Linked DNA regions of Oryctolagus cuniculus. The protein of the gene in region 1 interacts with the protein of each later gene in a biochemical or structural test. Links are inferred from orthologs where the notes say so. Each region holds a gene or a part of one and is shown in the gene's direction. Other genes may lie near its edges. The genes, in order: SIN3A, TAL1, SMARCA2, KLF16, MXD1, ZBTB16 and SMARCA4.

Region 1 (3,500 bases):
TCCGTGGGGATTAGCAGACTGCGGGGCCTTTCTTGGCTGCCCGGGTTAGCCAGGCTCAGTGTGCATCTTTGTGGCACGGTGCGAGTCCTCACTCCCGACCACTGTGCCTGCCAGCGGGGGGCAGCAGCCTCCTTGCCCATTGGCGCCGGCAAGGGCAAGGAGCAGTGAGTTGTGGGCTGTGTTTGAGGGATGACCTGGGGAAGGTGAGTTCCTGTATCAGTCAGGACGCTGTAAGACAGCTTCCAAGTCCAGGGACCTGGGAAAACGGGGTTCATGTCCAGCTGGGGACTTGGCTCTGAGGATGACCGCATCTGGTTGTGAGAGGGAAAGAGCTAAGAAGGATCTGAGATGCCGGAATGCTCCCACCCGGAGCAGTACCAGGACTTACACTCGTCTCACAACTCGGTTGCCACACTAGATACGGGGCCCCGTGCGATCGTGAGAGATTTAGAGAGTTCAGTCCGTTGCTCATCCATAATTGGGAGCGGGGTCCTGGAACAAGAAAACGTGGGGGACACCTTTGCACACTGCTCATTGCTGCACCCTCTGTCCCTCATTTAGACTCTGTGTGAAACCTTGGAGACGGGTAGTCTAAGGCGTGCAGTGCCAGATGAGCGAGACCTCTTCCAGAAAATAAGTGGCCAGAGTAAGAATTCAAGTGGTTACCCCCAGATAGAATGTGGACTCCACGAGAAGTGAGCGCCAGCGCTCAGACTACTGCTGGCTGTGGAGCAGGCTGTGTTGAGTGGTGTTTGGTGAGGGATTTCAGCAGTGCGTGACGCTCAGGGAGAGTGGCAGCAGGGTGGCTCCCGTGTGCCCCTCTGGTCTGTAGGGTCAGCTGTGGAGAGCAGGGCACAGTGCTGTGAGGGACCACCGCCGCGTTCTCGTCTTGGCTGGACGTGTCTGAGTGCCAGCTGCTGTGCTGGACTCTTCGTGTAGATCGTACAGTCAGTCCAGAACAGCCTCAGGAGGACCCCGGGTGCTGCCGCCTTTGGACTGTGCTGCAGTGGCAGAGCCGGGCTTGGTCAAGGAGGTGAGCGTCCAGCCCGGGTCTCTGACCCCGCCGCTCTGTTTTGGTTTGGGTGCTAAGCACCTTTGTTTCTCTCTCCAGCTGGATGTAGTTTTGGAGACCAATCTGGCAACCATCCGGGTTTTGGAAGCAATACAGAAAAAGCTTTCGCGCTTGTCTGCCGAGGAGCAGGCCAAGTTCCGCCTGGACAACACGCTTGGCGGCACGTCGGAGGTGATCCACCGCAAAGCTCTGCAGAGGATATATGCCGACAAGGCCGCCGACATCATCGATGGCCTGCGCAAGAACCCCTCCATCGCCGTGCCCATCGTCCTCAAGAGGTGCCTGGGCCGGGCCCTTCTGCTGTCCTGTGCTGCGCCCAGGCTCAGGCTCCCCTTCAGAGCTCCTGCTGGCCTGAGTGTCTCCCCAGCCCTGGTTGTTGGAAATTGGGTACAAGCAGGAGAAGGGACCTTGTTGTGAAGGTTCTGTGTAACCAGCTGTAGAGAGCAGGTGTGGGGCTGTTGTGAAACACAGGGAGAGCCGGCCGGCGCGCGGCTCACCAGGCTAATCCTCCACCCGCGGCACCGGCACCCCAGGTTCTAGTCCCGGTCGGGGTGCTGGATTCTGTCCCGGTTGCCCCTCTTCCAGTCCAGCTCTCTACTGTGGCCTGGGAAGGCAGTGGAGGATGGCCCAAGTGCTCGGGCCCTGCACCCACATAGGAGACCAGGAGGAAGCACCTGGCTCCTGGCTTCAGATCGGCACAGCGTGCCAGCCGTAGCAGCCATTTGGGGAGTGAACCAATGGAAAAGGAAGACCTTTCTCTCTCTCTCACTGTCCTAACTCTGCCTGTCAAAAAAAAAAAAAAATACAGGAAGAGCCAAGAAAGAAATGACCCATGTTCCTACCGTTCAGTCCTAGCTGTTATGAAGATCCTGGTGTGTTTTATAATAAAAAATCACTCTTCGTAGAATTTTTTTATTTATTTGAAAGAGTGACGGGGAGAGAAAGAAAGAATAGATGTTTTCCATCCACTAGTTCATTTCCCAGAGGGCTGTAATAGCCAGGGCTGGGCCAGGCCCAAGCCAAGAGCCCAGAACTCCATTCTGAATGCCCACACAGGTGATAGGGACCTAAGCACTGGGACCATCTGCTGCCTTCCCAGGTGCATTAGCAGGGAGCTGGATTAGAAGCAGGGTGGCTATCACTTGAATTGGCACAGCATCACAGGCCACGGCTGCGCCTTCCGTGCCACAAGAGTATTTGTAAAAATTGAGACATGCTCGTGAAAACAGTGTTTGCCATTTTTACCAAGAATGTTTGTCCTGATAGACCAGGCACGGTTGGGTGTGGAGGGCTGAGTACCCACCTAAGGCTTCAAGCAAGAGACCACAGGCAGGGCTGAGCTCCAGCGTCCTTTCTAAGTTCATGGCATTCCTTTTTTTTTTTTTTTTTTTTTAATTCTTTATTGGTTTTTAATATTTGAAAGGCAAAGAGACAGGCACAGACTTCCCATCTGTTGGCTCACTTCGGGAATGTCTGCAGTGCCGGAGGCGGAGGCCAGGAGCTGGGAACCCAATCCAGGTCTCCTGCATAGGTGTTAGGGACCCAGCCACTCAGGCCGGCAGCACTGCCTCCCAGGGTTGCATTGGCAGAAGCTGTGTTGAAGTTGGAGGCCAGAACTGGATGTTGAACCCAGGTCCTGGCAGGCGGATGTAGGCCAGTTGCCTGCCCCCATTGGTACTCTGACCGTGCTGTGACGCTTTGGCTAAGAGCTAAATCCTCTCGGTATCACCTGGCGAACGTTGATTGTTTGCTGCACAGCTCACACAAGTCCAGATTTTACCTTTCGTCCCCAGCCTTCCCCTAAAGAGCAGGCACACGCTGCGGATTATTCCTCTAGCCAGTAGTGTTTGACGTGTGGCTTCTGAGGTGCAGATTAGCCTTTAGTTCTGGTGCTGTGTTGGTTTTCATTCTTCCCTGGAGCCTCAGAGTCAGGGACTCCGCTTGGAGCTTTGCGGACTGTGTCCAAGTGTAGGAGAGGGCCTAAGGCTCTCCAGCTGTCTGAGGCAGAGAGCCCCTTCTTGAAGGAAATGCACCCTCGCCCCAGGGGGTTTTCTGGGGTGCTGTTTGGGAAGTAACTAGATTAGATTTGTGGTTGTGGCACCAGTTACTGCCTCAGAGTGCGTCCTGAATGGCTGATTCGCCACGTGACAGTCCAGGCCGGGTCTGATGACATTTGCCCCTCGCTGTGAAGGACTCCAGCAGCCCTAGTGATCTTTGGGTTGGAAGTCAGCCTGGCATGCCTCTCCCTTCTGGGCCTGAGTTCCCACTTGTCGCTGTGTGCACCTCCCTCCCACGCAGGCTGAAGATGAAAGAGGAGGAGTGGCGAGAAGCTCAGAGGGGCTTCAACAAGGTGTGGCGAGAGCAGAACGAGAAGTACTACCTGAAGTCTCTGGACCACCAGGGCATCAACTTCAAGCAGAACGACACG
Region 2 (4,144 bases), on another chromosome or scaffold:
TTCCCACCGTAAGGGCAGTGCAATCCCCCAGCCCAGCCTAGGTTCTGGCTGCCCCGCTTCATCAGCTGAACACAGAATAGACCTCTTGCCGAATTTCCTGGAAACCAGGTTCCACGGCTCACTAGGTCTCCGACACTGGGAAAGGTGCTTTTTCTCTCTGTGCCTCAGGCTCCTTATCTGGAATTAAGGATGATACAAAGATGACAGAACGCAATTGAAAATAATAACCCCTTCTCAGGGTTGTTTATGAAGATTAAATAAGTTAGTATCTGTGCAGTTCTTAGAATGGGGTCCAGTAGCAAGATTAAAATGCTTGTTAAAAACACTCTGTAGGGCTGGCACTACGGCTTAATGGGAAAGCCACAGCCTGCAGTGCCAGCATCCCATTTGGGTGCCGGTTCCTGTCCTGGCTGCTCCACTTCCGATCCAGCTCTCTGCTATGGCCTGGGAAGGCAGCAGAAGATGGCCCAAGTCCTTGGGCCCCTGTATCCACGTGGGAGACCTGGAAGAATCTCCTGGCTTCAGATTGGCCCAGCTCTGGCCGTTGCGGCCATATGGGGAAAGAACCAGCAGATGGAAGACTTCTGTCTCTCTCTGCCTCTGTAACTCTGTATTTCAAATAAATAAACTAACTTAAAAAAATTACTATGCAGGAGTGGTGTTTGTGGGCTCAGGCCTCACCACTCCGTCCCAGGAGTCCTCTGGGTTTGAGCTGCCAGCTCCATTTTCAAAGCAGAAAAGGACCAGGGCTAAAGGGGTTGGAGGGTCGGGGAGGGAGGAGCTGGGGGCTTTCTGGGATCAGATCTGCAGGGGTCCGGGACCCTGGAGAGGGAGGACTGGGAGGTGGCAGCTTCGGTGTTGCCGCAGTCTTCAGAGTCAGGGACAGAGCCAAGGGCTCAATGGAAGTCGCTCAATGGAAGCCTGTGGAAGGCCGAGGGCCTGTGGCTGGGGGCGCGGGGCTTCCCGCGAGGCCTCGGGATCCGAAATGGAGGCTGGGCCTGCCCGGGCGGCCAGCGCGCAGCTCCGCACGCGGCGCCTTCCGGAGCCGGTCCCCTCTCCTCCCCCCTACCCCCACCCCCGGTGAATTTGCCAAATTAAAATGAATCATTTGGCCCATAATGGCCGAGGCGCTTATCGGGGGCGGGCGGACCCGCGGCAGTGCCTTATCTCCGCGGCGCACACGGCCCCGCGCGCCTCGGCCCATGCTAACGAGGCCCCCCGAACGTGAGCGGGATTAGAGCGCGGCGCGGCGCGGCGCGGCGGGGCCCGGCGCGGGCGGCGCGGGGCGCGGGGCGCGGGCGCGGGCGCGGGCGCGGGCGGGGCGGCGGGCGGCGCGGGCGGGGCCGGCCTCACGCCCGGGCCCGGCCTCAAAATGGCCACGCGCGCACCCCCGCAGCGGACAAACGTGAGCATTGGGGCCTTTGGCCGGGGACGAGCGACCTGCGGCCTCCCGCCGAGTTCCTCCTCAGTCCGCCTTCTCCCCGTCCACGCCCGCAGAGGGGGGTTCCCGCTCCTCGCGGCCCTTCCGTGGGGGGCATTTTCCACGGACGCCCCCGCCCCTCCCGCCGCCGCCGACTCTTCCTTCCTTCCCCTTCTCCTTACGCAGCGCACAGCAACGCGCGCGGCGGCGGTTGGTGTTCATTTCTCCCCGGTGTTGTGTGCATGCGGTGGGGTGGAGAGTGCGCGCGTGGGCGCTGTGGGCCATGTCGACTGCTCCCGAGCGAGGCCGTCCCGCCGCAGGGTGCGTGTCCGAGTATCGTGGTGTGCGCCGTGGGTGCGTGGCCCCGGACCCCGCGAGGCCCTTCCGCCTCGTCGTGACTGTAGCTCTCGCCGACGCTCGCGGGCCGTGTGAGCTGGGCTGCGGCTCTGCGTGGCGGCGGCGGCGGCGGCGGACGTGTCCTGGAGGTGTCGTTGTTTGGCCGGGCGCGCGTGCTCCCGGCTGGGTCGGGTTGCGCGTCCGTGGGCGACAGCGCGGGTGTGATTTCGTTGTGTCGCACTGGACCGTGCGCGGGCCTGACCCTGCCGGCTCGTGATGTGTGTTGGCGGCCGTCGCGTGGGGCCCCGGCCGTGCCGAGGGGTGCGCCCGTACGCTAGCGTCCTTTGGCGCTGCCCGCGCAAAATCGTTGGGGGCGGGAGTGGGGGAGGGCGAGCGAGGGATCGCGGCGGCATGGGGGGCGGGGAGCGGGCTCTCACATTTTATTCCAAATTATGATGTATTCTGGAGCCCGCGTAGACGGGGATGGGCGGACGGAGCCCGGGCCAGTCGGTGCCTCGGCGCAGAGGGGTGCGCCGGTGAGCGGCGGCTCTTCCCGGCTGGAAGCCGAGCGGCGCTCGCTCAGGCCGGCACCTTCAGGCCGCGTTCGCGCCGCACGCGGGCTTCGTCCATTTCGGGTTAGTGTTGCGGGTGCGGCCACCGGGGTCTGGGGGAGGGGTCCCGCTCCAAGCTTCGCGGCTCGCGAGGGAACATTTTTCCCCGCGGCGGGACCGTCGCGTCGGCTTCGTACAAGGGCGGGCTCAGCTCTGCTCCAGCCCGGGAAGAAGCGATTTTGTTTGGCCTTTTACTGTAACCGCTGCTGTCCTCTTCCTCGTTAACGGCCTGTTTTAATTAAAATAATCGTCCGAGAGCGCGGTCGCTGGGTCCCGTTAGCGTCTCTGCGGGGAGAACAAAGCGACGCGGGCTTTTTTCCCGGCTTCGTTTTCTAAGTTGCTGGGTTCGGGGTAGGGAGAGGAAAATGGAGAAGAGGACGGGCGCCTAGAGTCGACCATAAAGCAGACGTCCCCTCCAGGCTGACAACGGGGATGGGTGGCCCCCCTCCCCTCCCCCAACGGGATTAGACGAAGAGAAAGGAAGCCTCCGCGGTGGATGGGAACCCGAGGAAGAATTGTTCCACAAAGCCTCGGCACCGAAGAGGCCCTCGCGGTGGGCGCCGGACGGTGCGGGCAAACCGTATTAAACAGAACCCACCGGGGGCGGGGGGAATAAAAGCGACCGGAATTGGGCTACAGCCTCGTCGACCGAATCGGTTTGTTTTTATCCGCCCGCCCTTCTGCCGCGCACGGTGCTGCGGCGGATCTTTGGGGTTCTGCCCGTCGAGATCCCGAAAAATCGAAACCTGTTCTGTAGGGGCGGTGGAGAGGGTGGGGACTCTCTCCCCTTTTCTTGGTGTTTCTTCTCTTCCCTTTCCCTCCTTCTTCCTTCCTCCTCTCCTCTTCTCCTTCCTCCCCTCTGCCTCTTTTTCTTCGCCTTAGTAGGAAAAAAAAGGCCCCTAATAGATCGCGTATTCATCCCCCCCCCCCCCCCCGTTGTGACTCCATTCCTGCGGCAAACTGCAGCCCTTGGAATTGGGTTCTGGTTTCGTTTTGGGGTGGACGTGGAGAGCTGGGGGTCCTGGAGAACAGGTACTCCGCGGTTCTGCCCTCTGGACCAGGGTCTGAAGACGGCATTAACCTTTCCCAACACCCCCACCCTCCATCCGCCTCAGCCCCGGTGCTGTCCCTTGCGACTGTGGCGGCAGCTCGGGCCTGGCCTGGGTGGCCGAGCAAACCGCATAGACGCGTCCGCGCTTAGAAAACAAGCTGGGCCGCGCTGAGGCAGGCCCGTCCCTGGTGGAGGGCTCCGAGGCGGCCCGGTTCCGGGCGCGCTGCCGGGAGTGGTCGCACTAAATCGTTGTAGCTGATTGGTCAGGCGGAGGGGTCTCTTTTCACGGGGAAGGCTCCAGACACCTGCAGGTTGGGGGTGGAAGGCTCTTTGCGAATCCCTGGACGGGTTGGGGGGTGGGGGACGTGAGGTAATTCCCAGCCACTGACCCCCATTTCTCTCTCTCCCTCCCTCTCGCCCTCCCTCTTTCTCTCCACCCCCATCTTTCCTGGAAACTCGCTTTGGGCGCGGCAGTCCGCCCAGGACCACACGGCAGCCTAACTGTTGGCCTCTTAGGGAGCGACCAGGAAAGCGAGGACGCCTCCATCCACAGTCGCGACCTCAGCCACCGCCCCTCTCTGGTGGAGGAGTAGGGACCCTATTTAGAGGGGCCAGTCTCTCTAAATATGCCCCAGGTAAGTTTGGGGGGGGGGGCAAGGCTTGGGTCTCCGCCTGGGGTGGGCAAGACTCCCGCAGCGAGCGGGCCCAGTCTGGGATTGGGTGGGG
Region 3 (3,328 bases), on another chromosome or scaffold:
TACAAGGGGGTCTTTTCAGGTGGTACAAACATTGAGGAAGGTAGGCATGAGCTGATGGGTACACTCATCCCACATATGTGAAATATAACCAGCTACAAAGATCCTATTGGGATAAGTACATAAGTAATTCAGGTATAGGAGAGGTCTTCAGAAAGTGTGCAGAAAAATGCATGCATTTCACAGATTTTTATCCTTTAATGCCTTGTTCCATGAACTGGCTGAAGCACCTTTGTCACACATTCCCCACCGCCCTAGAAATAATAGGCTGAGGGAGAGGAGTGTTTACTCTCTTACTTCCTGTGGTAAAAGTATTATTCAACTATTGGTATTTTCCTTCTGCTTCCATCTGCTAGAGTGATCTGCACGCATCCTCTGCAGCCTTCCCCCCATTAAATGCATCCTGAACACTTCCCTGAAATAGGAAAGGCGCTTCCCATTCCCGCCGTCTGCCTGCAGGAGCCCGGAAAGAAGGACCCTGCCTGGGAGGCCACCTTCCCTCGCGTGGCCTGTGTACTGTGACAGCGTTCATCTGCCAAAGAGAGGCGTGCGTGTGTGGGGCCACCGACTGGACAGGACGGCAGGAGCTGGGAAGTTCCTAGGCACCCTGACCATGTGGCCAGTCATCGGTGGCTGCTCGCCTCGTCACTGGTTCGTGAAAAGCATTGCTGCGTGTCTCCTCACTGATGGCTCTTTCGTTTGTTCTTGCATAGCGAAATCGGTTAAGGTGAAAATCAAGCTCAATAAAAAAGATGAGAAAAGCCGAGACAAAGGAAAAGGGAAGAAAAGGCCAAATCGAGGAAAAGCCAAGCCTGTCGTGAGCGACTTTGACAGCGACGAGGAGCAGGATGAGAACGTGAGTGCAGTGCTGGCATCTTGCTCCCTCTCACCTGTGGGTGACAAAGTCGATGGGCGAGATGCCATCCCTGAAGGACGGGAACACAGCGGCAGGACTTCGACCACAGATCTGGGGGCTCTGTGCATTGCTTCAGTAGTCTGCAGAAAATAAAGGGGAGAAGAGAACTCGATTTTGTAGTTTTTCATCTTAGAAATTGAGTTTTCTCCATGGCCGATTCATATTTTGTATATCACGCCTGTCGTGCTGCCTTGTATATAGTAGATGGAAGAATGAGAAAAGGTGTTGGGATGTCGGAGTTTTGGACTTGAGTTGCTCAGTAAGGTGCCATATGAAAACCCAAATGACTTTTTAAGCACCTAAGGGTTTTTTTTTTTTTTAATATTTGAAAAACCTCAGGGAGCATTGATTGAGGCCTGGAAATAGGTGCCTTCCTGTATTGGTACATATTTATCCCAGCATCGTGTGCTGCCACTCTCAAAACATGAGAGTGATTTAGCCATTTTGCTGCAGGTCATCTAGCAAGTGACCAGCAGAGCTGAAATCAGACCAAGTCTGCACAGCACAGGACAGTGGCATTTGAACCTGCCCTACCTTCCTTCTACTTTCCCTGCCAATTTTTTTTTTTCTTTCTGGGAACTCATGTCCATGTTAGTATGATGGTAAGTTTCAGAGTCATCATCTTACACCAGCCTTAACCACTGGGCACAGTTGTTTTCAAATGCATTGAAAGCCCTGTGTTTTCCTCATACCACTTACGAGTGGAGCAGACAGGAAATACATGATGTTTTTCCTTCCCATGTATCTTCCAAGGCATAGGGCTAAAAACACAGAGTACTTAGCCACAAACCTGTAAACCCAGACTGAAGGGGAGCACCCACTAGCAAAAGTGGGGGTGCGTGTGGCATTGGGATTTTAATGACAAGCCCTCTTCTTGGCCTTACTGCTGTCAGTGCCTCTTGGGTGTGCTTCTGTCTTCCTGCAGAAAGATGTGGAGCCTCCGCTGTTTCTCAAAGGCCGTTTGTTCTTTCTCTGCCTGCCCATGGCTTATTAAGGTGTCTCCTCTCGTTCCTGGGATTTTATTTCATTTCCTCTTGTTTTTCCTTCTAGGAACAGTCGGAAGCAAGCGGGACTGATGATGAATGAACAGTCTGGACCTTTTTTCCTTGGTAAAACTGACTTCCTTCCTTCCCCTCTCTGCCCAGTGAACCTACTTGTCATAGTGGCACTGGGCCCTGTCATCATCCTCATCTATAAACTAGCTTTAGGATAGTGCCAGACAAACATATGATATCATGGTGTAAAAACACACACACACAACATTTGTAACATATTGTGACCAAATGGGCCTCAAAGATTCAAAGATTAAAAACAAACCAATCTTTTGATGGAAAATATGTGGGTGGATAGTATATTTCTATGGGTGGGTCTAATTTGGTAATAGTTTGATTGTGCCTGGTTTTATCACCCGTTCAGATGAGAAGATTTTTGTCTTTTGTAGCACTGATAACCAGGAGAAGCCATTAAAAGCCACTGGTTATTTTATTTTTCATCAGGCAATTTTCCAGGTTTTTATTTGTTCGGTATTTTTTTTTACACTGTGGTACATATAAGCAACTTTAATAGGTGATAAATGTACAGTAGTCACATTTCACCTGCATAGACATTTTTCCATTTTATGCTCTATGATCTGAAAACAATGCTTTTTGAATTGTATAAGATTTATGTCTACTGTAAACATTGCTTAAATTTTTTTTTTGCTCTTGATTTCAAAAAAAGTTTTGTTGAAAACGCTATTGAATATTGCAATCTATATAGTGTACTGGATGGCTTTTTTGGTCAACCTGATCTCCTATGTTACCGATGTGTATCGTCTCCTTCTCCCTAAAGTGTACTTAATCTTTGCTTTCTTTGCACAATGTCTTTGGTTGCAAGTCATAAGCCTGAGGCAAATAAAATTCCAGTAATTTCAAAACCGTGGCGTTGGTGCTTTCCTAGTAACGAGACACCATAGCTCTCCAGTGTTGCCTGTTACTCCTGAGTCCTAAGGGAGTGACCCCCTCATGCTTGAGGGGACTGTTTCCTGAAGGGGGCCAGGGAGGCTCCTTGGAAGGGACGAGAGAGAGAGAATGAGAATTCAGGTGTGTGTGCACCACGAGGGAGGCGCCATGGGCCAGGCCACACAAAGGCACTGCTCAGCCTTTCCTCAGGCATTAAATAGGCCTAGTTCTTTCCCAGGTGCCAGCGTAGTACTGTCTGTCGGTCGCATTGCTTCAGAGCCTTCTGAAGGCACTTCCCGTTCCCATTTTACAAACAGGAATACAGCAGTGGAGACGGTGTGGGCTGAGCACACCAAAGGTGGATTCGGGAGGTAAGCTCGCTCCAGAGCCCTTTCCCACCTCCCCAGCGGTAAGGCCTGGGACAGAACTTTCGGATATGCCTCAGGTCACGTGCCAGGCACTTGCTGGCACAGTA
Region 4 (4,148 bases), on another chromosome or scaffold:
CCCCCAGGCCCCTGACCGAGGGCGGGACGGTTTGCCGGGCCCGCGATGGTTCACCCGCGCACACAGGAGGCCCAGCAGCCATGGTCCTGCGGATGGGCTCTGCTGGGCCTGGCCAAGGGGCACGTGCGTCCCAGTGGCCCCGTCGCAGCTTCCCGAGGGCCAGGCCTCCTAAGGGAGGCCAGCGGGCATGGCCAGGTGTGCCAGTGGCCAGACAGAGGGCAGCTGGCGGGGGTGGCAGGCGGGCGGGGCGGAGGGGGCGCCCCAGGATGGGACCAGGGCCAGGGCCGCTGTCCACACCCAGTCGGGGCAGCTCCGCCCCCTGGAGGCCGCGCCGGCCACTGCACGGCCTTCCTGACCGGCGGGAGCCGGGGAGGGCGGGAGCGTGGTCGCCCGCTTCCTCGCTCACAGCCCGGGCCTAGACTCTGGGTGACCGCGGCCGTCTGCGACCCCTGAAGTCCTCCCCAAAGCTCAACAGCACGCGCTGGGCGTCCTGGGGGGCGCTGGCCCGCGCCCCGAGCGAGGGTCCTGGCTCGGGACCAGAGTCCCATCAGGGCGCCCAAGCTTTGCCTCGCCGCCCGGAGCCCGGCCCCGCGCCGCGGGCCTCCCGGCGCCCCCCACCCGGCGAACCCCGGCCGCCCCACCCCCGTGGGACAAGCACGAGCCACTCCAGAGCCGGGCGCAAAAACAGGAACCAGCAATGGCGCGGCCGAGCGGGCGGGCGGGAGGGTCGGGCCCCCACCCCGCCGGGTCCCGCCGCGGGGCAGCCGGTGCCGCGCGGGGTTTCGGGCGTGGCGGCGGGTGCGGGGCCGAAGCGGGGCCCCAGGCCGGGGAAAAGGTGGGGGGGAGGGTCGCGCACGTGGCCTGGGGGCGGGGCCGGCCGCTTCCGCACCCCCCACTCCGGCCACGTGGGGATCGCAGCCCTCCTCCCATGGCGAGCGGGGGCGCGCCCGGGGCCAAGGTGGAAGCGTCCGGGCTGGGGGCGGGCTCCCGCCGGTGGCGCGCTCCGGCGCGGGGTGGGCGCGCCCGCGGGGAGGCTGGGGCCGGGGCGGGGCGATCCGGGCGGGCGGAGGAGAGGGGGGCGCGCCGGCAGCGCGCTCCTCCCGCGTGGGGCGGGGGCCGCCGGAGAAACGATTGAGCGCGCGCGCGCGCGCGTGGGGACCCCGCGCTCTCCAGCGCCGGGGTGGGCGCGCCCGGGCCGGGCTCCCCCGCCGGCCCCGCCCCCGCCGGCCGCGCGCGGCCCGCGGGCTGGTGGTGGAGGGCGCGCCGCGCGGGGGGCGTGGCCGCGGCGCCCCGAGGGGGCGTCCTCCGGGCGGGGCGGGCCGCGGCCGCCCCCGCGGGCTCCGGTGCGTCAGGGCGCGTCAGGCGGGGCGGGGCGGGCCGAGCGCGGGCGGCGGCGGCGGCGGCGCGCGCCGGGCCTCCTCCTCCTCCGCCTCCGCCTCCCGCACTCGAGCAGCCGCCGCCGGCCGGACGGGCGCCGCTGCCTCCTCCTGCGCCCGGCATGTCGGCGGCCGTGGCGTGCGTGGACTACTTCGCGGCCGACGTGCTCATGGCCATCTCCTCGGGCGCCGTGGTGCACCGCGGGCGGCCCGGCCCCGAGGGCGCGGGCCCCGCCGCCGGCCTGGAGGTGCGCGCCGCGCGCCGCGAGGCCGCCCCGCCCGGGGCCCCGGCGCCCCCGCCGCCGGCCCCCGGCGCCCCGGCCGCCGCGCCCCACCTGCTGGCCGCCAGCATCCTGGCCGACCTGCGCGGCGGGCCCGGGGCCGCCCCGGGGGGCGCCTCTCCCGCCTCCTCCTCCTCGGCCGCCTCGTCCCCGGGCTCCGGCCGCGCCCCCGGCGCCGCGCCCGCCGCCGCCAAGAGCCACCGCTGCCCCTTCCCGGGCTGCGCCAAAGCCTACTACAAGTCCTCGCACCTGAAGTCGCACCTGAGGACGCACACAGGTGAGCCGCGCCGGGGCCCTCGGTCGCCCCCTCCCCCGTCGGGACCCCGAAACTGCGTGGCGCGTGGGGGGCGGGGAGGGGGCGCGCCCGGGCCGCCGCCGCCGCCGCCGCCGCCGCGCCGGCCGGGAGGGCGGGGCCCCGGTGGGTGGGGCGCGCCGGGGGGCGTGGCGGCCACGCGGTCGGGCGGCCGGCGGAGGGCGGCCGCGGCGGCCGGGGTCGGGGCAGCCGGCCGGACCGCGCAGCCCCCCGGGGAGCCTGGCCTGGCTTCTTTCTCGTTCCCTTTCGCCCTGCGCCCTGGGCGGTGGGCGCCGCGGTCGGAGCATCCGGCCTCAGTTTCCTTATCCGAGGAGGGGGAGACGGCGCGGGGTCTCCCGGGAGGGCGCTGGCGCCGGGCCAGGGTGGGGGTGCCCCGCACGCCGTCTCTCCCTTCTTCTGTGCTCGACCGGGGTGGGAGGCGGGGCTGGGAGCCGCGCGCCTCGGGAGGGAGAGGGCCTTGGAGAGGGGCTCCTGGGAGGGGACCAGACCCCTCCGCTCTGCCCCCGTGCTGCCCCCGCACACCCACTCACCTGTCGCGGGGTCCAGGCGGTGGCCCGGCTGGAGGGGCCAGCGGTCAGGCGGCACTGGGCCCCTGGCAGGCTTCCCCGGGGGTCGCGGGGACGCTAAGAATCCCGCGCTGGGAGTTGTTGGGTACCCCCCCCACCTCGGGACTGGGCCCTGGGCAGGTGGGCATCGGAGGCCGTGGGCGAGGGCGTGGGGGTAGGGGGTGCGCGCCCCTGTCTGTGTAGACTCTACAGTGGGGGTGGGAGGGGGTGGTGGGGGCGGCACTGGGAGAGGGCTTTGTCCCGGGCTGCGGGGGGGGGGGGGCAGGCGGGATGGGGTCTCTGGTTCATGCCAGGAGCCCCCGTCACTCTCTCTGTGGGGGGCATCCTGAGTGTGGGAGGCAGGGGTCTGCACTTCTGTGGGTGACGTTTGGGGTCCCCCGCGGAGGGCTCCCGGGCCCTGGCTGGTTGGGGGTGAGCCTGGGCTGAGGGCAGGCAGGCCCGGGGGTTCCCAGGGTGGAGGTCGTGAGCTGGCCCCAGCCTGCTTGCCCAGCCTTGTCTCTGCCTGGCTTGGGTGGAGGGAGAGGCCAGTCATCCTCCCACGGGTGGACGAGAAACCGAGGCGTGGGGGTCCTGTCCCCGAGCCCCCCTCCCAGCAACAGCCTCAGGACCACCTGTGGTGCTGTGTGACGCCAGGGTCCCCTGGACGCCCCTGGGGTCACTGAGCGGGTCCGGGGAGCAGGCCGCTTTTGGTGGAAGGGGTTGGGGGCTCCCGGCTCCCCCACCCTGCACCTGAGACCCCCGGGACCAGCATGCTGGCGTCCACGGTGTGCGAAAGATCTGGTGAGGAGCCGTCATGAGGCACCGGCTGGCTGCAGAGCCGCCCCGGGCGGGGGGCCTTGACCTGGGAGAGGGTCCTGCCCCTGCCCCCCCTTCCTGGGGACCTGCCCCCTCTTCTGCGGGATCCCCGGCCGGCAGCCTGGGGCTGTGCGCGAGGGCCTGGCTGACGGGAAACGTGGCGCCCCCGTGGCCCTGGAAGGGGCAGGAGAGGCAGGAGAAGTGCAGGGTAGCAGCCCCCCTGCACCTGGCCCGCAGCCCCCAGCCCTGCCAGAGAGCTGCGTGGAGCCGGGAAGGACTTTGGAAGCTATGGGAGATGTTGACGCCGTTGCCATGGATACGGAGCAGGGCGCGGGGGCGGGGGCGGAGAGAGGCTGCCAGCCACCAGCTCCTGCACCCCCGGGGCGGGCGGGCGGCTCTCCCAGCCCCCCTGAGCCGAGTCCCCGGTGGGAGGGGTCTCTGGTCCCCACTCCTCACCGCCTGGGGCTGTCCTGCGCTCCACACGGTGCCCCTGGCCCCCACCCCCTCCGTGTCCGGAGCAGCCCCCAGGTGGGACAAGCAGCCAGGCCCCCAGCGTCACCCCCGGCTGTAGCCCACCATTTATGTTGAAGCCCTGTGTGCCGAGGCCTGAGTAGGTGAGCACCTACTGTGTGCCAGGCGCTGATGAGAGGAGAGGGCTTCCTGGGGGCGGAGGCTCCCGGGCTGGGGGTGGGGGGCCCTGGGGCGCAAGGTGAGGGCTGCACTAATCCTGGGAGTGGAGGCTGGGGAGGCAGGCCCGGCTCCGACCAAGGCGAAAATCCGGTTACAGAGGAGGGATTAGGGTGGGGGAGGGGCGCGG
Region 5 (3,500 bases), on another chromosome or scaffold:
CACAGATGGACGTAACTTAGAATACCACTGGAGTTCACTTCCCTTTGGTTTTCACCAGAGCTGTCTGGGTTCACAAGGCCTTTATTTGGCGAGAGGTCATTGGCAGTATTTGCCATCCCTGGGCCTGGGCCTCATTTCGTTTAGGACTCATTCCTCCCGGGTTGCCTGCTGGCCCACTGTGAAACTCTCAGATGCTACTGCGGTCTTGTTTTTCTAGACGGGCTCATCTTCGCTTGTGCCTGGAGAAGCTGAAGGGGCTGGTGCCACTTGGGCCCGAATCAAATCGACACACTACGTTGAGTTTATTAACAAAAGCCAAATTGCACATAAAGGTAAGTGCCGCTTTATGCTGGGGTGCCTCATTAGCTTCTCTCTCCAGTAGGGTGTTTCTGTTGTTGTGAGGGACAGACTATCTCCAGGACAGTCCTCTCCCCTGAGCTCCTCCAACCCACCTCTTAGATGAACCAAAGACACCGCAGATGCAGCATGTCCAAAACCATCCGAGTATCTCTCAACCCCACACTCCAGGAATGAAGGATCCAGCCAGCTCGCCATCCAGTTGCACACCCAGAAACTCGGCGTTCTCGGTAGCTCGTGTTCCTTAGCCACCACACCTGAGCCACGTCCAGGCCTCCATATTTCACACCCTGGTCGGCTTCCACCTTCACCTAGCACCGTCCACTGCGTGCAGTTCCTCAGCTGTCTCCCTTCCCTCTTTCCCTTCCTATCTGCTCTCCTTAGGTCCTTCCTTCTAAAGCTCAAATTAACCCCTTGCCCAGTTACAGCTCTTCTGTGGCTCAGGACAAACTGGCACCAGGCCTGCCCCAGGCTCTGCCTGACCTGGCCCTCACCTGCAGCATCATCTTGTCCCCACACTCCCCTCTGTCCAGCCCATCTTTCAGACTCTTGCACTCGTGTGCTTCTACCACAGGGCCTTTGTGCGTGCCAGTGCCTCTGGTCAGTATGCTTTCCCTGTCTCCTCCACCTTGTTAACTGTCCACTACCCACCCTCCAGATCTCAGCACGAGTCTCATGAGCTCAGAGAAGCCTTCCTGACTCAGTCTGCTTCTCTCTGTGACAGGTGGTCATGTCTGGGTATCTCTGTCCCAGCACTTGCCACAGTTGGCATTTGGTGGTGGTTTGTGTGTCTGTTGAGTTGCCTGTAGATTCCACGAGGGAAGCGGCCTGGGTTTTGTGCTCTGTCCAGCCCCTGCCCTCCCAGAGAATCCAGCTCAGGGTTGACCCTCAGTGCCCAGGTGACTGGCACTGATAAGGCGAGTTGTGCCCACACTCCTGAGAGCCACCGCCACGTCGCTGTCCAGCACACATATCACTGAATTGTGGTTGGTAGCCTGCATTGAGGACAATTCCGAGAGAAAAGGAACCTCCTTAATTTTGAACGGATGGGTGTTCCTCAAGCTTCCATCTGGTGAAGCTGGGGTGTTCCCAGAGCTTGGGTGTTCAGGCGATGGGTATGAAGACCAGGCTGGAGACTCCGGCCTGCAGTCTTTTCCATACCCAAACCGAGGGGTGGCAGGGGCCAGAGTGTCAGAGCTCACCCAGAATCGCTGTGAGGGCGCGTGCCCACAGCCACGGCAGTGCTGCAGAGGTTAGGCCAGCCAACTTCCTGCCACAGCAAACGGCTTCTGAGGACACCAGCATGTTTCCCTGCAGGGCGGGAAGGTGCGGCATGGCAGCTTAGGACTCGGCCCTTTGACTTGCAGAAACTTGAAGACTGTGACAGAAGAGCCGTCCACCAAATCGACCAGCTGCAGCGGGAGCAGCGGCACCTGAGGAGGCAGCTGGAGAAGCTGGGCATTGAGAGGGTCCGCATGGACAGCATCGGCTCCACCGTCTCCTCGGAGCGCTCCGACTCCGACAGGGGTGAGCCACCCGGCCCCTCCGTGCGCCTCCCGCTGCTCTCGGGTGGGGCGCTGAGGGCCGTGTCTGCCCACCCGAGGGCATCTCTCTGTCCCCTTAGCGTTAGGTAGCAGCGGCCAAGAAGGGTTCAGCTGGGGGAGGTCTGACCGTCAGCCTGTGAGCTCTGTAGGCGCCCTCACTGACGGGTGTGTGTGTGTGTGTGTGTCCCCCCATCTCCTCCCCCCTCTCCCCTCCCCCCGCCCCGTCTGCAGAGGAGATCGATGTAGACGTGGAGAGCACAGACTATCTCACGGGCGACCTGGACTGGAGCAGCAGCAGCGTGAGTGATTCTGACGAGCGGGCCAGCACGCAGAGCCTGGGCAGTGACGAGGGCTACTCCAGCGCCAGCGTCAAGAGAATAAAGCTGCAGGACAGCCAGGACGTGTGTCTCGGGCTCTGAGGGCGCGTGTGCCGGCCGCCCCCTGGATGGTTCTCCCTGTCGGCTCTGATTAGGTAGTGTACTGGACCTGCCCGCCTCGCCCTCGCACGTCAACGTCCGTGTACCCCACCTCTACACAGTCAGCTGGGTCACAGTTTCCAAGGAAGTGCTTAGGCCTGTGGGCATCGGATGGCACCCGCTAGCTTCTCGTTCTCTCCATCACAATCCGTCTCTGAGAGACTGTACATTCCAGTCAGTCTGAAGCACCCGAGACTCTTTAGACCGAGCGAGCAACTGTCGCATCTCAGCAAGTCCCCGTCTCCTCTCCTGTCCCGTGTCGTCCACCAGACTTTTCTGCCGAGTTCTCTGGCTTACTGTGTTACCTGCCTGGGAGAAGTGTCTGAGTGTGTCTTGTGCTTAGGAGACTGAAGGAAACCAGCTTTCCAAGTGGAGATCCTGACCTCAGAACTCCAAAGGAAGCTTCGAGAGCTCTTCGCCGTGGGCCTCGCCCCCGCGAGGAAGTCAGGAGCACCTCCGGCAAACAGCCCTGCCACCTGCCCACGCGCACCCCGGTCGCCGCCGCCCTGGATGGGAGCAGTATTTCCCACTCGACAGCGTGTCTCTGGGCTCGCACAGCCGAGGAAGGTTCCACCACTGTTCTCACAAACAAAACGGCACCATGTGTTTTTGTGCAGTGTTCATGGGACCTTGCTGTGTACCGCTGTCTCAAGGCACATTTTCCCCTCAAAGTTTGTCAGTGCTACTTGTCTCTGGAACTTTTTTTTTTCCTACCTCAGAGATAAATGAGATCTCCATTTCCCACTTAACACAAAGTGATTATGCCTCTCCCCCCCCCCCCCATAAGTGACATTTGGTCCAATGCTAATCTATTTTCCTATTTAACTTTCAGCAATAACTGAGCTTTGGCACTAGCTGAGCTGGTGGCCATCATCAGTGAAAGAGAAAGTCCGCATTTCTACTCTCTGTGTTGCAGGTGAACAGGAGGGGACGGGACGGGGTTGCTAGAATCCCTCTCCTTCTTGATTATTTTTGGATACACCCAGAAACTTCTTTCTGGAGGCTTTTGGGCTGATAGTTTAAAAGGCTGATTTTTCTTTTTGGTTATGATTTCTCCCTTAAGTGGTCTCCCACTTTGTAGCATTTTTATTTAAGCTAAAACAGAGCACATGTATATGTACAT
Region 6 (4,036 bases), on another chromosome or scaffold:
CTCTGTGAGTTCGGATCAGTTCCAATATGCAAACTCTGCCCCCAGGTCTTCCCCTTTTTGTCTCTGTCCGGCTTCTGCTACCTTCCATCACATCACAGTTCTAGGGCCGGCCCAGTGCCAGGGATTCCACGCTAGTTCTGCGGAAAACCTTTGGCCCACCCGCCAGGCAAGGAGGGAACACTCAGATTCAGTGACTGACGCCTGGCGCTGCTAAAGCCGCCTGACGTCGCGGACTGACTGCACTGAGACCCCTGGATGGCGCTCTTGCCGCCCCCATCCTCCTAGCGTCTGGACTCCAGCCGGAGGCCTGCACGGCGCTGGGAAGAGCGCTTCCCACCTTTTGCCCCGCGCCTCCGGCTGGCTCCATAAAAAAGAGGGGGAAGGGAGCTTTCCGCAGCTCGGGGAAGGCCGGTTTCCTACGGTGGCTGCTCCCGGGGGTTAGCGGTGCGAACTCTGCCCTCCGGAGTGCGTGCGGAGGGGTAATGGGGGGGGGGGGGGCTAGGGAGCCCGGGAGGAGGACGCCCTGCAGGGCGGTCTCGAGCGTTTCCAAGCTGCCACCGGCCCCGAAGACTGCGCTGAGCAGTCCGTCTAGGGGGTAGAGGGACTGAGCCGAAGAAGAAAAAGTTTCTCTCCGGTCTCGACCTCAGCCTCCAGTGACCGCGGCTGCCAAAACGGGGCGCCCCCATGGACAGCACATCCTCGGGAACCCCTGGCACCTAGTTCAGTAGAACCCGCTGGCTCTGCGCCCCGAGACTTCTTGCCCCCAGATGCTCATGCCCGGCGGCGCGCGGGGTCCGAGGGGCTGAAGGCGCTTGGGCGTGGGCTGGGCACTTTGGCAAACAGGGGTCCTGAGAGGCGGGCGCAAAGCGGGAGAAAAAGTGAAAGGCTAGGGGGCAAACGCTGGAGCCCAGCACAAAACCCCGCGCTTGGAGCGCCGGAGTGGGAGAAACAAATCCGCGCCCAGTGGCAATGAAAAAGCTGCGAGTGAGGTGGGAGCTGCCCCTGGCCCCCCAGGGCCCGCACGGAGCGTTGCGAGCCCCCGCCCGGCCTCCCCATCACCGGCCCTGGCGTGCTCCCGGCTGGGCCGGAGCGCGGCGGCCGCGGCGCCCCAGCAGCAGCTAGGTGTCAGGCGAAGCCCGGGGCGCCGAGCGCCGCGCAGGCAGAGCGGGTGGGGCGGGGAGCGCGCACGGGCTGGGCCGGCGCGGGGGGTGGGCGGGCTGAGCCCGGGGACAGCGCGGGAGGGGGAGGAGGGGGCAGCTGTGGGCAGGGAGCCGGGCTCGGCCGCCAGCACTAAAGATGGAGAGGCGCCGGGGCCTCGCAGGGGAGGGGGCTCGGCGTTGACGTGAGACGCGGCGGAGGCGCCGCAGCCGGTGGTGATTTGCTAACCTCACAGCACACAGGAGTTGAGGGCGATGAGAGCGGGTACTGCGAACTGCCGGGCGATGCCGCCGCTGCCGCCGTGAACCCGAGAGCAACAGTTCCTCCAGCAACACCCCTCCCCGACGCAGGCACACACCCCCCGGCAGGCCCGCACGCCCACCCCACGGCGCCCGGCTCGGCAGCGGTGAGTGGGGGCCCGGGGAGGGGCGCACCGCCCAGCCAGCGCCGCGCGCCCGGGCGCCCCGGGGCCGGAGAGGTCGGGGGGGTGGCGCGTCCGCTCGGGCCACTCGGCCGCTGCGCTTGGACCTTATTTCATCCCGCGTGTTCCTTTCCTGCGCTGCAGCCGCCGCCGCCACCGGTTGGGGTCAGCTCCAAGAGGGGAGCCCCGGCTGTCAGCTTGGGCGCAGCTGCCTCCCCAGCCTTTCCTCCGCAGGGCACGGTCCGGGTGAGAGGCGGGGAGCTGGGGCGCGAGCATAGGGTCGGGGATCGCGAGGCTTTATACAGCCAGGGGCCGGTGGGGGCTCATATGTATGCGGACGGCTGCGCGGGCGTGAGCGAGGCTTGTGGCTTATTTATTTGTTTATTTGCCGGCCGGCTGGGAAGCTAGACTGAGAGGGGCTGGCGAGTGGATCTGGGGCCGAGGCGAGCAGGATTGGGACACGTTTGGATTTTGTTTTCTCTTTGAAAAATCCTAGTGGGCCCTTCTTTCTTGATTGGACTTGATCCCCCATTTTTTGGGGGGGGTAGGGTGGAGAGGGAGAGAAGCTCCGAGGGGCGCCAGTGCTCCGGGCCCTCCTCGGCTCTCGGCAGGATTGGCCGTGGCGCCGGAGCTCGCCGTGCGCTCCCGGCCGCGCTCGGTGGGCGCCCCGGCTCTGCACCTGATGCGTGCGGGATGCCTTTGCCACCACGGCGCGCCAGCGGCCGGCTCTCGCAGCCCCTGGCGCACTCCCGCACGCGCCCTAAACGCGCAGATCCTGCCGGCCTGCGACCCACTGAAACGCACAGACGCGCTCCGCACCGGCTAGCTCGCCGCCTCCCCGGGTCGCTCGCCACGTCCCCGGGCCCGGCACGCCCGGCGGCTGCTGCCGCTGGCCCGAAACCGGGAACCTTGCTCATTGCTCCCCGGGGGTCACGGCCCTGGGTCGGAGCCGGGGGAGCCCGGAGATCCCCTTATCTCCCCTTCTCGCACGAGTCGCTGCAGGGCTTTTGTGCTGCCCCTTCGCGGCGGGCCGGGTCCGTCTCCCAGCCCGCCGGACTCGTCGCCTTTCGCCTGCTCTCTTTCGTTTTCCCTCTCCCTAGCTCGGCTTCTTTCCTTTCAGGCGGCTGACTCCCCAGGAAAAGTTGCTTCCCCAAGTTTGCCGAACTCGTCTCCAAGTCTCGGCGGGGGTCTCTGGGAGCTCGGGGCGTGTGCGCGCGTGCTCGGTGCCCGCAGCTCGGGCGGCTGAGTGCTGGCTTTCCCCCGAGCCGCGGGAGTGGAGCCGCAGCCTGCGCCGGCCGCATCGAGGGCGCCGAGCGGCGGGTCAGGCGGGGGGACGACTGACCCAGGGCACCGTGGTCTCCCTCTGGAGCTACAGGGTTGGTTTGGAGGAAAGGGGCACTTCCATTCTCTTCGGTTGCCTCCTCCTGTTTTCCTGCAACTCCCGGGTCTGCAGGAAAGCACAGGGCAGCGAGGCGTGCGTGGATGGCCGTCCCACTCTCTGTGGCCACGGTCCCCACCCTGGGCTGGGCAGCTAAAGTGTCTTGACCAGCCAACCCCGTTAACCCTTTCTTTCTGCTTGAGCTAGGTGCCTTAGGAGCCAGTAGGGCTGCTTTTGGGCGTGGTGAGGAGCAGTGTTTGAGGAGTGAGGCGCGCGGGCTCTGCTCGCCGCCGTCACGCACTGCTGCGATATCTGCAGCCAGGGAGAAGTTGGGAGGGGCCTGGCCGGCCAAGGCTTCCTGGTACTCCTTGAACGGGGTGCGGAGTCCCGACCAGGCTCTGGGAGAGACCTTTGTCTCCCAGCCCTGTCCTCACACCATGGATGCTGGTGCCAGTGTCACTTGCAGCACCTCTGAGACTGGCCAGCATCAGTTGCTGCTCCTGGTCACAGGACTTGCCAACTCCTGGGAGCCTCTGGGAGACTTGGAGGCCACGCCCAGCCCAGCCTGGGCACCGCTGGCTGTTGGAAAGCCCTTTCTTATGATTACTCTTTGTAACTGCCTGGCCCATTGGCCTTCAGATTTTTGCCGTTCCTGTCCCTGAGCACTTGTGGACAGGAGGGTGAGTGTGGGCTCTTGAGTTAATGCTGTCCCTCTTGGCTGGCGGGCACACAGTGACACAGAGTCCAGATTGGGGGCTCCATATGCTGTCACTTTAAGGTCGCTGTGGATGGAAGTGACCCAAGTGAGTGTGTGCAGGTTACATGAGTGTTGCTGTGAGCCTAGAAGGAGCTCAGGGCCGGGGGCAGCCTGGAGCAGGGGACAGAGGCCCGGGAAGGTAACAGCCAATGGTGAGAGGGCGGGCTCGGGGAGGACAGCCCATAGCCTGGAGGTGTCTGTGGGCCACAACTGCAGCCTGCCAGTCCCTCATTGCACTTTTGCTTGGTTCCTGGGGCTGCCAGAGTGGGGCAGGGTTTAAAAAAGGCATTGTATCGGAGGTGAGGTTACAGGAGGCGGAGGG
Region 7 (4,136 bases), on another chromosome or scaffold:
CCTGGGTTTCCGGCCGGGCTTATCTGCAGACCCTTTCTCGGCTCAGCGCTGGTCCTGTCACCTGCCCAGGGCAGCGCCACCGTGCGCAGCAGGTGCGTCCCCACCCCAGGCCCTGGGCCCTTCCGGATGCGCTCCCTCCCGGAGCCCCGCCCCAGGCCTTTGCGCCTCTGTCCAGCTCTGCCGTCCTGAACAGGTCCCAGCTCTGCAGCCTTGGTTTCTCATCACCTCCTGGCTGGCCCACTCCTCCCCTCCTCCTTGCTGCCCCGGCACCCCCTTCCCCGGCCCGAGGCCTTGCCCTGAGAGCTCGGGACTGAGCCCCGCGCGCGACAAGCCCCAGCCTCACCTGCCAAGTGTCCACGTCGAAGAAGCTCTGGTAGTAGCCGAAGGTCCAGAATCCGGGCTGAGGCTTCTCCTGCAGGAGCTGCACCCGACACCGTCAGTCCCTGCCCGACAGCCTGGGGGACACGAGCGCTTGGGCCACGCTTGGGCCACTCACCGCTGCCTTGTCGCCGCCCTCCTCCTCCGCCTCCTCCTCTTCCTCGGCGCCGTAGCTGCCGCTCGAGCCCATGGCCACTGCCACGTGCCCCTGGGGGGTCACTTGGTCACTCTTGCTCGTGGTGGCGGCATCGGGGGTCTCGGCCAGGAGATTGGTGGCTTCCTCGAACTCTGGGGAGGGCGCATGGGACGCAGGTGTACCGCGCGGCCACCTCGGTGGTCTTCCCCGAGCCAGTCTGGGGGCACGGGGAAGAGAGCTGTCCCCTTAGGCGAACCCGGGGCTGCAATGTAGGGTTCGTCCTGGGATGGGTCCTGGGACGTCACGGGCCCGGGGCACGAGTGGAGGTGGATGGAGGTGGGTCTCACGCGGGGGTCGGGTTTCAGATCCGGGGTCAGGGTTTACCACCGTCTGGGATTCTGGTTAACTCTGAGCCGGAAGCTGCCCGGCCAGGGGCCGCAGTGGGGGCGCCGGGCACGCGCGGGCCGCACTCACCGTGGAAGGCCAGCTCGTCGGCCGCTGCCATGGTCGCCGGGCGTCCTCACTGCATCCCGCTCTGAGGACGGAGCTCCCTTCCCGGGGCCTGTGCCCCGGCTCCAAGCACTGCGTAGTGGCTAACGGCACCCACGGGCGCTGACACTCGCCGTCCTGGCCCCTACAGGTGGACCCCGCCCTGCCCACCTGCTGCTGCCTCGGCCGGCGTGGCTGCGACTAAGTGCGCCTGCGCGGCCCGCCCACCCTCGAAGCGAGCCGGGTCGCTCCGGACAGCAACATCCGGCGCCGGTCTGTTCTCTATACTCTTCCGGCGGGAAGCCACGTCCGGTAGCGTGGGCGCGTGCGCAGAAGGCACTGCCCGGAGCTTTTATTTCGGATGCCGGGTGTTTCCTTCCGGAGAACGGACCTCAGACCGGAAGAGGATGGCGGCGACCGCTCTGAAGAGGTTTTGGGCCCGAGGACGCCGAGAAGCGGGAGACGCGGCGGCTGCCAAGCCCGGCGTGTGGGCGCGGCTGGGTAAGTAGGGGCGGAAGGCGGCGGTGGGGGTGTCCGCAGCGTACCCGGACGGTTCTGATGGCGCGTGTTTCCTCCCAGGCGCCTGGGCCCGCGCGCTGCTCAGGGACTACGCCGAAGCCTGCCGGGACGCGGCGGCGGCGGCGCGGGCGCGGCCGGGGCGAGCGGCGGCGTGGGCGGCGCTGCTGGGCGGCGCGGCGGCTTGCTGCTCGCTGGCGCCCAGCGAGGCGGCATTCGAGGAGGCGCTGCTCGACGCGTCGGGGACTCTGCTGCTGCTGGCGCCGGCCACGCGCAGCCGGCCTGCCGAGGGCTTCGTGCAGCGGCTGCTGTGGCTTCGGGGCCGCGGGCGCCTGCGCCACGTGAACCTGGGGCTCTGCTCGCTGGTGTACGAGGCGCCCTGCGACCCCCAGGCCAGCCTCTACCAGGCTCGCTGCCGCTACCTGCAGCCCCGCTGGGCCGACTTCCCGGGCCGGGTCCTGGACGTGGGTTTCGTGGGCCGCTGGTGGGTGCTGGGCGCTCGGATGCGCGACTGCGACGTCAACGACGAGGAGTTCGCGCACCTGCCCGCGCACCTGCGCGTGGTCGGGCCGCAGCAGCTGCGCTCCGAGGCCAACGAGCGGCTGTTCGACGAGAAGTACCTGCCCGTGGTGCTGACCGCGGAGCAGGTGGACCAGGCGCTGTGGGAGGAGCAGGTGCTGCAGCGGGCGAGGAGAGACCGGCTCGCCGCGAGCGAGGCGGAGGCCGCGCGGTGAAGCCCCGCGGCGCCGTGCCCGGGAGCGCGACCCCCGAGCCGAAGACGTCGGACTCGTCCCGTGCGTGGACCTGGCCTCCTGTTTGCATGACGGACGTCCCCGCTTGTGTCTTGTGTTTACTTTGCAATAGAAGCTGGAAAAGTACTGTGGAGGCGTCCTGTGCGTTCTTGACCCGGGCGACCCCCCCCCATCGGCCGCGCGCGTGGGCGCCCCAGGACCCGACGGGGAGCCGTGCGCAGGAACGGACGCACTGGGGCGGGCGCCGCTCTGCCCCCCGCGCACCGCGCTCTGCAGGGCCGGCAGGTGGGGGCCCCAGGACCTGGCCCCCGGCCGCCCGTGTGCGAGGCCCAGATGGAGCTCCTGCTGTTGCGGGTGTCTGGGGAGTGAGCTGCGGGTGGGAGGGGTCTGTCTCCTCTCTGTGAATGTCTCCGCATCCCGCGCCAGCCGGCTGTGACCGGCCGTGTGGGCGGGGCCGGCGAGGACGTGGAGGAAGAAGCTCTTTGTGTGGGAACCCGAGGGAGTCGCAGGTTCCGGGTTTGTGGGGAACCAGCAACGCAGAAAGACTTCTATGGAAGGGAGTGGGCGAGGGCGCGGGACCCGGACCGCGAGGGGTACGGGAACCGCGCTTAGAGCTGGATCGCGGAGAGCGATGGAGCCGTGATGGTCAATAAAACCCGGAGGAGAAGCGGCCTGGCTCAGCGTGGTTCTGTGCAGAGCGCACGCGGTGGCCTCTGGCCTGAGTTCTGGGCGCGGAGCGCCTGCGCAGTGGGCGGCTCCACCTCAGGCCGAGCCGGGCTCAGGTCTGCGCCTCCCAGGCCCAGCGCCGCGGCTCGTCCGCGCTGCACAGCCCGGAGCGTGGTGTCGGGTGCTCGCTGTGGTCGTCTCTGACCCTACCTCTTGCCCAGATCACTCACTACTGCTGTCTGGGCTCCGAGTGAATCTGGGGTGCAGAAGTCAGTGTGAGGACTGGAAGGACGCGTTGCCAGTGCTGTGGCGCGGAGGGTGGAGCCCCCACCTGACACCAGCATCCCACGTGGCGCCGGGTCAAGTCCCGGCTGCTCCACTTCCCGTCCAGCTCCCTGCCACCCATGTGACCCAGCCCTGGCTTTTGTGGCCATCTGGGGAGTGAAGCAGTGGATGGAAGACCTCTTTCTCTGTCTCTTCTCCCTTTTGAAATAAATAAACCTTCAAAACAACACAAATGAGAATTCAGAATTTAATCCTACGTGGTCACTTGTCAGCGACCACCGACATCCTGCCTCCCGGGGCTGCCGTGTGGCACATGGGTCAAGACACACATTCCGTGTCGCGGGGCCTGTAAGGGTCCTGGATCGGCTTCTGACTCCCGCTTCCTGCCAGCGTGCAGCTGGGAAGGCCACAGCTGAGGCCCCTGCCCCCCGTGGGCCATGCAGGAAAGTTTAAAAATAGTTAAACCGCACCTTTGTTAGGAGAGAAGATTGGCTGGGGCCAGTTTTGTGCTGCACCGTGGGAGGCCAGCATTCCGTACGGGTGCTGGTTTGTGTCCCGGCTGCTCCACTTCAATCCAGCTCCCTCCCAGTGCACCTGGAAAAGCAGCGGAGGCTGGCCCAAGTCTTTGCCCCCTGCACCCTTGTCGAGACCCAGATGAAGCTCCTGGCGCAGCCCCAGCCGTTTGGGAATGAACCTGCAGGTGGAAAATCCCTAACTCACATCAGAATCTTAAAGAAAAATGGTGCTGACCACGAGCCCCGAGAGGATCCGCAGGACCAGGCTGCCATGAGGACTACTTACAGAGTGACCCGACGCACAGGCCAACGCACGCCCCTGCCCAGAGGAACCACGGCGCAGTGCCGCTAGGGGCGCACCACGCTGTGGCTGGGTCTGACAACGGCGTCCATCTGTGG

Evidence for each region.
Region 2: the proteins of SIN3A (region 1) and TAL1 form a complex in vitro, tested with the Homo sapiens proteins (2 studies listed by BioGRID). The link is inferred for Oryctolagus cuniculus from reciprocal best matches to the Homo sapiens genes SIN3A and TAL1.
Region 3: the proteins of SIN3A (region 1) and SMARCA2 form a complex in vitro, tested with the Homo sapiens proteins (2 studies listed by BioGRID). The link is inferred for Oryctolagus cuniculus from reciprocal best matches to the Homo sapiens genes SIN3A and SMARCA2.
Region 4: the proteins of SIN3A (region 1) and KLF16 form a complex in vitro, tested with the Homo sapiens proteins (2 studies listed by BioGRID). The link is inferred for Oryctolagus cuniculus from reciprocal best matches to the Homo sapiens genes SIN3A and KLF16.
Region 5: the proteins of SIN3A (region 1) and MXD1 form a complex in vitro, tested with the Homo sapiens proteins (4 studies listed by BioGRID, with this or other methods). The link is inferred for Oryctolagus cuniculus from reciprocal best matches to the Homo sapiens genes SIN3A and MXD1.
Region 6: the proteins of SIN3A (region 1) and ZBTB16 form a complex in vitro, tested with the Homo sapiens proteins (3 studies listed by BioGRID). The link is inferred for Oryctolagus cuniculus from reciprocal best matches to the Homo sapiens genes SIN3A and ZBTB16.
Region 7: the proteins of SIN3A (region 1) and SMARCA4 form a complex in vitro, tested with the Homo sapiens proteins (2 studies listed by BioGRID). The link is inferred for Oryctolagus cuniculus from reciprocal best matches to the Homo sapiens genes SIN3A and SMARCA4.

The regions. Positions count from the first base shown.
Region 1 is NC_091443.1:108,567,923-108,571,422, forward strand, and holds part of SIN3A (paired amphipathic helix protein Sin3a), read left to right. Parts: intron 1-1,111; coding exon 1,112-1,350; intron 1,351-3,370; coding exon 3,371-3,500. UniProt on the Homo sapiens protein: Acts as a transcriptional repressor. Corepressor for REST. Interacts with MXI1 to repress MYC responsive genes and antagonize MYC oncogenic activities. Also interacts with MXD1-MAX heterodimers to repress transcription by tethering SIN3A to DNA.
Region 2 is NC_091438.1:125,621,153-125,625,296, forward strand, and holds the start of TAL1 (T-cell acute lymphocytic leukemia protein 1), read left to right. Parts: upstream 1-1,344; 5' UTR 1,345-1,405; intron 1,406-1,411; exon of another isoform or gene 1,412-2,391; intron 2,392-3,892; 5' UTR 3,893-4,053; intron 4,054-4,144. UniProt on the Homo sapiens protein: Implicated in the genesis of hemopoietic malignancies. It may play an important role in hemopoietic differentiation. Serves as a positive regulator of erythroid differentiation.
Region 3 is NC_091432.1:164,360,317-164,363,644, forward strand, and holds the end of SMARCA2 (probable global transcription activator SNF2L2), read left to right. Parts: intron 1-710; coding exon 711-853; intron 854-887; exon of another isoform or gene 888-993; intron 994-1,963; coding exon 1,964-1,999; 3' UTR 2,000-2,828; downstream 2,829-3,328. UniProt on the Homo sapiens protein: ATPase involved in transcriptional activation and repression of select genes by chromatin remodeling (alteration of DNA-nucleosome topology).
Region 4 is NC_091447.1:58,917,212-58,921,359, reverse strand, and holds the start of KLF16 (Krueppel-like factor 16), read left to right. Parts: upstream 1-1,348; 5' UTR 1,349-1,498; coding exon 1,499-1,934; intron 1,935-4,148. UniProt on the Homo sapiens protein: Transcription factor that binds GC and GT boxes and displaces Sp1 and Sp3 from these sequences. Modulates dopaminergic transmission in the brain.
Region 5 is NC_091433.1:132,738,366-132,741,865, reverse strand, and holds part of MXD1 (max dimerization protein 1), read left to right. Parts: intron 1-217; coding exon 218-332; intron 333-1,724; coding exon 1,725-1,884; intron 1,885-2,132; coding exon 2,133-2,320; 3' UTR 2,321-3,500. UniProt on the Homo sapiens protein: Component of a transcriptional repressor complex together with MAX. In complex with MAX binds to the core DNA sequence 5'-CAC[GA]TG-3'. Antagonizes MYC transcriptional activity by competing with MYC for MAX binding.
Region 6 is NC_091432.1:105,951,504-105,955,539, forward strand, and holds the start of ZBTB16 (zinc finger and BTB domain-containing protein 16), read left to right. Parts: upstream 1-1,236; 5' UTR 1,237-1,564; intron 1,565-1,624; exon of another isoform or gene 1,625-1,825; intron 1,826-2,519; exon of another isoform or gene 2,520-3,637; intron 3,638-4,036. UniProt on the Homo sapiens protein: Acts as a transcriptional repressor. Transcriptional repression may be mediated through recruitment of histone deacetylases to target promoters. May play a role in myeloid maturation and in the development and/or maintenance of other differentiated tissues.
Region 7 is NC_091447.1:66,695,000-66,699,135, reverse strand, and holds the start of SMARCA4 (transcription activator BRG1), read left to right. Parts: upstream 1-1,336; 5' UTR 1,337-1,364; coding exon 1,365-1,504; intron 1,505-4,136. Other genes in the region: protein YIPF2, read right to left, coding at 344-421, 497-666, 989-1,019. UniProt on the Homo sapiens protein: ATPase involved in transcriptional activation and repression of select genes by chromatin remodeling (alteration of DNA-nucleosome topology).